Coturnix japonica: one gene and its partner. The protein of the gene in region 1 purifies or fractionates together with the protein of each later gene. This does not show direct contact. Links are inferred from orthologs where the notes say so. Each region holds a gene or a part of one and is shown on either strand. Other genes may lie near its edges.

Region 1 (4,489 bases):
ACTTCTTTCCTCTCTCACCACTGTTTCCTTCCTTTCTTGGTGAGCAGTGATGTTCTGCCCTGTTTCTTCATAAAGTTTCTCCCGATGAGCATTCCCTGTTGGTGGGTTCTTGTTCTCCTCTGCTCCCTGATCCTTTCTGCCAGTTTCCATGTTTATTGCTCCCCTGTTTAGAGAGGTTACCCACCCAGCGCAGTCACATTTCCTCAGGGTGGTTAACAGAGCAACAAGTGTGAGTTCAGAACAGCCAGAAAGAAACAGGAAGCGCTGCTTGAGCAAGCAGGGTTGTGTGGGACCTGCTTCTCTGGGCCGCAGGCTGAGCATGGCCCACAGCATGTCTTGGCCTCACCGCTCTCCTCCTGCATCACTTCTCACGTGGAGATGGTGGTGCTAATGTAGGGTGTGGTAGTGGTGTGTGTCTCTTTAGAAAGCTCTTGTGCTACTGGAGCAGAGCAAACTATCATCTCTGTGTGCCTAATGGTTTGTGACCCCCCAGCCTGTGGTGTCAGCATCAGCCTCAGGAAGTCTAGTTTATCCTTTCAGAAGTGGTCATTTCCAAGAAATGCTGTTGTGCTCTCCTTGTCAGTGTTCTGAGCGGTAGGGAAGGGAAGCTGAAGTGCTGCTGGGATGGACTGGTAGCTTTCAGTGCTCTGGCAGAGCTGTGTGGGTGTGGCACTGAGGAACACAGTTAGTGGGAATGGCAGGGGTAGGTTGATGGTTGGACTAGATAGTCTTAGAGGTCTTTCCCAACCTTAATGATTCTCTAAGTGTAAGGTCCCGTGCTCAGAACATTGCCAAAACAGCAAGGAATTCACCAGCAAGGAACTGAAATGGTAGGATTTGATGGGGGGTTGTGGAGCTGCTGCAGGAAGCAGCCCTCGTTACGTCCCTAAAGTGGGCTGCAAGCGTGCCGAAACCACTGAAGCCAGGCTGTGAGGTGCAGATCTTTTGAATCAAAGGGCCCTGGGCAACCTGATCTAGTAAAGGTGTATGTTTGGTGGCCCTGCCAGGCAGGGGGGTTGGAACTACATGATCCTTGAGGTCGCTTCCAACCCGGGTCATTCTGTGACTCTGTGTGCGCTCACCCCGATCCCCGAGTGTCAGTGCGCGGGGAGGAGCCTCTGCCCGCGGCCTCGGCCCCGCTGTGGCAGCAGGGCGGAGCAGCAGCCCCGCTCCCTGCCGTCCTCTCTCCGCCCGCCCCGCGTGCCGCCGCCCCACTAAACTACGTTTCCCGTAGTGCCGTGCGGTTGGCGGCGCGAAGCTCGCTCTGCCTTGTCCCCTGCGGGCCGCGGTAGCAGCCGGCGGGGGCGGCTGTCAGGCGGTGACGGCGGCGGGCGGGACGCGCCCAGGTTGTGCCGCTGCCGGGACGCGGCTGGGCGCGGCGGCGGCGGCCGGTGTCGGTGTGGGCGGCGCTGCACGGCGCGGCAGACGCGGCCCGGCCATGGACGAGCAAGCGGGGCCCGGCGTTTTTTTCAGCAACAACAACAACAACAACGCGCTCCTGCTGCCGCCGCCGACGGGCGGGCCGGGGCTGGAGCCGGGCGAGGCGGCGGCGGCCGCGGCGGGAGGCGGCGGCGCGGGGGTCTCCTCCGGCGGAGTCGCCGCGCCGGTGTCGGCGTCGCGGGCTCAGTACAGCGTGCCGGGCATCCTGCATTTCCTGCAGCACGAGTGGGGCCGCTTCGAGGCGGAGCGCGCCGAGTGGGAGGCGGAGCGGGCGGAGCTGCAGGTAACGCCGCCACCCCGGCCCCCCTCCCCGCTCCCCAGTGCGCCCCCGGCCCGCGGGGGGTGGGGGGTGGAGCGCCTCCCCCCGGCCCCGGTTCTTCGCCGCCGCCCGGAGGGGCGTGACATGGCGGCGGCCTGCGGGGGGCGGCCGGGTGGGCCGTGGGCGGGAGGAGTCGGCTCCGCGACGCCGGGGCTGAGGGGCGCGTTGCGAGAGCTCCGATAGCGATCTTGTGGTTTAGGGAACTTGTGAAGTGCTGGCCCGCAGCCACCGCGGTCGGGCGCTCCGGGATGCGCGCCTCGTATTAACGCTAATAACAGAGGGTAATAACAGAGGGCGGCGCGGCCTGCACCGCGGTGCTGCTTCGGCTTTGTTCACGAGCAAATCTCGGTTGTAAATCTTAACCGCCCGCAGCGCCGGGAGCCCCTTGTGGGTCCTTCCCAGCGCCGTGCTCGGGGCAGGGAGCGCTTCCTCTTGGGTCTCATTCCCTTCCTCTTCCTTCCTGGCAGTTCTGTTCTTTCTGTTCCTTTCCTTGAAAGTATCGTCTTTGTCGAGAGTCTAAAGTCTGTTTAACGGCAAGAACCGCTTATCTCTTTCGTTGTTATTGTTTCATTTTTCTTCGTTTTCGTTTCAAGTGAGGAGGAAAGTCGGTTCCTTAGCCGTACTTCCAATGACAACATCAGGCAAACCCTCGTGGAGGGGAGTGGTGGCTGCTCCCCGTGTAGGAGTGCAAAGGAAGTGGCCATAAGCACAGGAGAGATGCGGTTTGTGTTTTAGCTTCAGTGATTTGGTGAAAGATTTGCTCGTAACATGGTTAGCGGGCACAGTGGCGGTGGGTTGATGGTTGGACTAGATGATCTTAGTGGTCTTTTCCAACCTTATTATTCTGTGATTCTATATGTTGCTCACAACATCCGGTAAATATGATGTAGAAAGTAACTAGTTCAACTGCACATAATAACAACGTTGCTCGTCGCACCCTAAGGTATTTATGAGACTCCACTGGGTATTTTTTCATTGCTGATAGGAATCTCACAGGGTGCTCTGGAGGAAAACAAGTTCCTTGGGACCAAAGCGATTCTGCCGATGCCCAGCAGCAGCAGAGCTGTATGTGCCCTCAGTGTCCCCCCAGAGGCCATTCCTGCATCCCACCTCCCCAGTGTCCCTCTGGGGAGCAGTGGGTGTCAGAGCTGAGCTAGCATGAGAAGGGGCCAAGCACATGCGTGATGTGCCAAAGTCATGCGCTGTCAGTGGCAGGGCAGGAGCACAACCCCAATACAAGCTGTTTGCTGGAACTCCTTCGACTCTTGCCAAAATGTCTCAATAAAGCTATAATTAGCTGTGACTGGCATCGCCACAAGCTGCAACAGCATTTATCTACTGCAGAGTCATGTTCAGGAAGGTGCAAAATTCTTGACTGTCCCTGCAGACATTGGGTGTGTGACGTCTGCCACGACCGTTCTCAGCCGAATGCTCTTTGATCCGTATGAGAGGTTTGTGTTGTGGCTTCGGCAGCAGCGAGGGGGCTCTGAGCAATGGTACATGCACAGCCCCACAATGAGCAGCATTAATTAAAGGCAGATTCCACGTTCCTCTTGAAGCCCTTCATGGGCCTGGATGCTGTGGATTGTTTAACAGAATAATGGCAGTCAGAGGTCATGCAGTTTCTGTCTCTCGAGATAAAGATGCAGTGCTCTGATTGTACTCCAAGGTCTTCTGGCCAGTGTAAATTAAATGCTAGGCTGTCTGCTCTCTTGGGAGGCCATGTGGCAGAGATCCTGCTTTGTACGGCATTCTCTGTGTGCCATACATTTTATGTGTAGTGCATCTTGCTCCTCAAAGGCAGACTTATGATCTCTGGTTCCTTACCACTGTGATACTTAAGTCCCTCAGATGTTGCTCTGCTTGGCTGCTGCTCTGTGCTCGACGGTTAGTTAAGCTATACTCTTTCTGAAAAAAACACCTTGTAAGTCAATCCTACTGCGATTTCCTGCCTTCCTTTTCTTCCCCTCTGGGCTTCTTTTCCTTTTCTCTTTTTTTTCCCCCTCCCTTTGCAGTTACTTGTGTGGAACTCCACGTGATGCTCAGCACACCTTCCTGTTGTGCTGCAGGCTGCCTGCTCAGGTGCCCCCCACCCTTGCTGCAGTTAAAAACAAACGAGTTGATATGCTGGGAAACTGGTTCTGTTCATACTTGCTGGCCTAGTTGCTGCTTTAACAAAGTTTTTTTTTTCTGCCTGTTTGCCTATTCTACTTATCATTTGCTTTCCCTGGCAAATATCTGTGTTTACTCTGATTTTCTAATTATTTTTCTTTAATCTTTAAAAATGGTTCTTGCCTCTGTTATATAATCTTCCCCATTCAGAGGCCTTCAATATTTATATCTCCGTGAGTACCATCAGCAAGCTGCATGTTTTGAGGCAGACTGAAAGCAGTCGCACAGGGCTTCCCTCTATGCTTATCTGCTAATTATGGATTTCATTATTAACTCTTGCTTCGTGTTTACGGTACTTCGACATCTGCAGATTGAAGAACTATCCCAAGAATAAGCTTTCGTGGTGCCTTGTAGTGGTAATTCACTGAGTACTGACTGGATGAATTATCCTCCTAGTGTTAACAAACCACGTACTTAGCACTGTCGTTTATTGTCGTATCTTTTCAGAAAGCAGTGACTTTCTTTTTCCCACGTTCTATAGCAGCTGCTTGGGAGAGTTGACAAGAAAGGGTTTCCTGTTCTGCAAAGTGCTTCAGCTCCAATTTCTTTTTCTTTCGG
Region 2 (4,655 bases), about 15 Mb from region 1:
TCCTCCTTGCTCAGTATTTCAAAATCAGTCCCTGAGTCTCATGGAGTCATTTACATAGAAGAAACTCTGGAAAAAGAGAGATGATCCCTGAAAAGGCCTCCACTCAGAAGAAAAGTCATTCTCCTCAAGGCTCAGACACCTCACAGCTTTGTGGGCTGCAAGGGAATTGAGAGACCACGTCGTCTTCAGCGCAACAGATGTCATTTCTGAGGGCTCAGAATCTTGCTTTCCAAGAAGGATCTGGTTCACGCTTCATGTATGAAATAGAGATATTTATCACAGGTGGGAACATGCTTCATGTCCATGGAAACAAACATTCATAAAAGAAAACAACGTTTCAACTCCTGGTACTTTTTATCAGCAATCCAAAGTACGTAGTTTGTTCTGAAGCAGGGCAGCATATCAAGAGTAATTTCAACCTCTTTAAGACATAATCAAGCAAGACGATAAATAGCAGTTTTTTTGGAAACAATGTATTCAGGGAATAACCCCTCAGAGCAAGACTGGTGCTCTGCTGCCACCTACAGGGAGAGGATGGAATCACCCTCGGTACTATTCCACATGGAAACACCTTAGTGAAGAAACGGAGCTTGCACTTGTGGTCCTAAACCCCTTAACCAAACGGCAATTCTTCAAAGGCTCAGCAGCATTTACCCCAACATTCTGCCACGATTCAGCCTCCAGCAGCTTCTTTTCTCCACCGTAACCTCCCCAGAGTTAACAAAACCCTCCAGAGTGTTGATGAAGGAAAGGAAGGACCTCGGTGTGAATAAGTTCAGCTGCAACTTCAGTTTCTAGATGCTTGTGTTGCTGATCACACAACTCTTTGTTTCGTACTGAGGTGCTCACCTGTTTTTAGATCAGTAAGTGGAAGTGATGAGGATTATCAGTAGGGACAGTCCCTGTCCTGTACTGCTTTGCAGCAGCTCATCTGTTCTTTACTCTTTTTGTAGCATTATGACCAGGAAGAGATCTGCCAGTCTGATGGGGTAGAGGAGAACCATGGACATCTAAAGATCAAGAAGGGGGCTGCTGGCCGGGAAAACCCAGACTGCTAAATCAGTCTATGAGAACAGTACGATTCTTCTCACTGCTCCCTGCAAATTCTGGAGGGCAGAACAGTCAGAAACGATGGTAAGAGGGTAAGAAGAACAAGATAACGTGCCGGCACCTCCCGGCCTAAATCTAGTTCTCAAACAAGAAGACTGGAAGTGCATGCTGGCTCTAAGCACAACGGAGCAAGCAGCAAGCCTCAGCCCTAAGCTACCTTCGATATTAGAGAGGCTTTTGTTTTGACCAAACACAGTGAGGTAAAACAAGGTGACTGTGACAGCAACAGCTTTACACTGTGCTTCCTCCACAGCCCTGAGGTAACACCACAGCGCGGGAAGTGCTGCAGGACCCCGCGCGGCCTGTTCCTTTAGGTGTCCGCGCAGCTCGCCTGCACGAAGGGAATTCTTGGCTCCCAGCTCTCAGGCGCTGCGCAGACAGCTCTATGCGTGACGTGCCGCCTGGCGCCGGCTGTGAGGACCCGGTGTCGCTGCGGGGCTGTGGCGGCGTGTTCTGGAAGCTTCGCGGCTCCGTGAGCTGAGCGGGGCGAATCCGTCCCCATCCGCTCGGACCGGGGGTGTGTCGGCGGCGAGCGGCCATGCCGGAGAACACGGGACACAAAGCGCACGGCGGGGCCGGGAATCGGGCCAAGGGCACGTACCAGGACCGGGACAAGCCCTCCCAGATCCGCTTCAGCAACATCTCCGCCGGCAAAGGTGAGGGCCGCGGGGCATCGGCGCTGCCTGATGGTAGGCCGCTGTGTTAATAGGCCGCTGTGCTGATAGACCGCTGTGCTGATAGACCGATGTACTGATAGGCTGATGTACTTACAGGCCGCTGTACGCTCTGCTCGCTCCTGCCGCCTTAAAGCGGGAAGGCTCGGCCAGCTTCAGGGGCAAGCTGCAAAAATGGCCCCGTTGTATTATTGTATTATTGCTGTTCTGTTCTTGAGTGTGACTCGGTGCTGGTAAAATGAGGAGGGTGCCTTTGTAGTGGGAGACGCTGTTGAGGATGGTGTATGAGTGGTTGTAGCTCTGTAGATCATCTTGTAAATGGCGTTCTTCTCTTTCCAGCTGTCGCTGATGCCATTAGAACGAGCCTCGGACCAAAGGGAATGGATAAAATGGTAAGGCTTTTAATGGAAATACAAAAACTGAGATTGCTGAAGAGACTGTCATGCCCTGTGTAACTCACCAATGTGCTCCTTTGTCTTAAGCTGCTTTTCCAAGCTTGGAAAGCACTCCTTTGTTTTTATGATCAAATGTTATTTCTTTGTAGTAAAATGTAGCTTAAATTCTTATCTCAGTTTTCCTCACAAGGTTATTTGTCAAGCTGTCTGACGCTGAATCACGATAAACATTACTAGCTGCCAACCAGTGCTGTTTCTCCTTCTCAGATTCAGGATGCTAAAGGAGACGTGACAATCACTAATGATGGTGCTACTATCCTGAAACAGATGCAGGTTTTACACCCCGCAGCCAAAATGGTAAATACTTGTAACATCACTTGCACAACGGTACACGGTAGAGGTTCATTTCTGGGACAAGTGAACACAGATTGTAATGTCTCACGTGGGTGTCGTCTGTGATAGAGCAACAGCCTTTCTGCTGAGTGCTTCAGGTCTATTGACATTGATTGTGAGATGCGTTAAAGGATTCCAGGTCCTTATTTCTTACTGCTTAGGAATAATCTTTTCTGGATACGGTTGAAGATATAAAAGGTTTTTGACCCAAAGCTTTTCTTATCTGAGAAAGAAAAGTTGGTGATGTCCTGAACCAGTAGGACAAAGGAGAGTCAAAGAAGAAAACAAATGACATGATGATCTGGTGATCCTAGGATACAGCTTTTATTTTGTTGGAGGCTTCTGTTATTGCTCCAGCCAAATATGCATACACGTATGAGAAGCTGCAAGTTAGAAAAGATAAGCCCTGGTACTGTGGGTAATTCTGGTAGTGCTGTGTTCTGTCATATCTTTTTTATTTCTAACTGTCAGAGTTTTCAGTGAAGTCACATTACATTTAAACTCTCGTCCATTTAGTTGGTAGAGCTGTCAAAAGCACAAGATATTGAAGCTGGGGATGGTACTACATCTGTTGTTGTCATTGCCGGAGCTCTTCTGGATGCCTGTTCCAGACTCCTTCAGAAAGGCAAGCATATTTATTTTATATATATAACATATAATACATATTTCATATATAAGACTGGTTTGGAGAGAGGAGGAAAGACCGCTGGTTTGCAAGGGTGACCTAACAACCTTCTATGTTATTCACAGGAATTCACCCCACCATCATTTCAGAGTCATTCCAGAAAGCTTTGGAGAAAGGTATTGAGGTATTGACCAACATGGCACAGCCAGTGGAACTGAGCGACAGAGAAACCCTGCTGAACAGTGCAACTACATCACTGAACTCAAAGGTATGGCTGATACGTGAACAATCTGCAAAGCTCTCAATGGTTTTATTTTAAGAGTCAAAGAAATAAAGTCAAATTCGTTTTCCAAAGTCCCTGAGCTTATTTCTTCCCACCAGTGGGGCTCTTCTTTCCTCTTATTAAGAAGATAACCACGTTGATGCACCTGCCTGATGGACAGAGAGGGGAATTGTTGGTTTTTTTTCCAAGATTATAAAGTCAAACTAAAACAGAATAAGAACCTTGAGAAACTGCTGGCTGTTTTTGATCAGTGTTAAATCATGCATTGCTGATGTATTTTTCTCCCTTCCCTCATTAAATCCTTTAGGTTGTGTGTCAGTATTCCAGCTTACTTTCTCCCATGAGCGTGGATGCAGTGATGAAGGTGATTGACCCATCTATGGCTAACAGCGTGGACCTCAGAGATATTAAAATAGTGAAGAAGTTGGGGTAAGAAACAATCTTATTTAATTATCTAAATTATTTAGATATTCTTATTTAAATCTAAATTAATTATCTTAATTATAGGCCTGTGTCATTGTGGAATTGCTTCCCAAGGCACTAATAGCCACGGATTGTTTTTGTTTGCAGAGGAACAATTGACGACTGTGAGCTGGTGGAAGGGCTGGTCCTGACTCAGAAGGTGGCCAACACAGGTGTAACTAGAGTGGAAAAGGCCAAAATTGGCCTAATTCAGTTCTGCCTCTCTGCTCCAAAGACAGATGTAAGTTTAACTCAAGTGAGAAAACGTAAATGTAACAGCAAAATACGGATCTTGTTTAAGATGTGGTAATGGCAGCTCTATTCCACAGCTGTAATGAAGGCCTGCTAGTAATGAACCCCCATTACTCATAACTCTTAAACAATTTGTAGCTGGCATGAGAAAACAGTTCAGAACTCCAGTATCTCTCATAGAAACAAATTCTAATAGTACATTTGGCTGTAATCTGTTTGTACGTACTTTAAATCACAGGCTATTAAATCAAAGAATATATAGCATCCCAATGCTTATAAAATGAGCACTCGTTCATGATACTTGTTTCTTTTTCAATAGATGGACAACCAAATTGTTGTTTCTGATTACGCTCAAATGGACAGAGTACTGCGTGAGGAGAGAGCTTATATTCTAAACTTAGTGAAGCAAATTAAGAAGGCTGGATGCAACGTGCTGCTGATCCAGAAGTCTATTCTGCGGT

The links.
Region 2: the proteins of STRN (region 1) and CCT4 purify together in Homo sapiens (affinity purification with mass spectrometry; 3 studies listed by BioGRID and IntAct, with this or other methods). This does not show direct contact. The link is inferred for Coturnix japonica from reciprocal best matches to the Homo sapiens genes STRN and CCT4.

What each region holds. Positions count from the first base shown.
Region 1 is NC_029518.1:28,841,730-28,846,218, forward strand, and holds the start of STRN (striatin), read left to right. Parts: upstream 1-1,349; 5' UTR 1,350-1,438; coding exon 1,439-1,723; intron 1,724-4,489. UniProt on the Homo sapiens protein: Calmodulin-binding scaffolding protein which is the center of the striatin-interacting phosphatase and kinase (STRIPAK) complexes.
Region 2 is NC_029518.1:13,361,115-13,365,769, forward strand, and holds the start of CCT4 (T-complex protein 1 subunit delta), read left to right. Parts: upstream 1-1,503; 5' UTR 1,504-1,648; coding exon 1,649-1,766; intron 1,767-2,123; coding exon 2,124-2,176; intron 2,177-2,446; coding exon 2,447-2,536; intron 2,537-3,088; coding exon 3,089-3,197; intron 3,198-3,322; coding exon 3,323-3,465; intron 3,466-3,787; coding exon 3,788-3,909; intron 3,910-4,050; coding exon 4,051-4,183; intron 4,184-4,513; coding exon 4,514-4,653; intron 4,654-4,655. UniProt on the Homo sapiens protein: Component of the chaperonin-containing T-complex (TRiC), a molecular chaperone complex that assists the folding of actin, tubulin and other proteins upon ATP hydrolysis.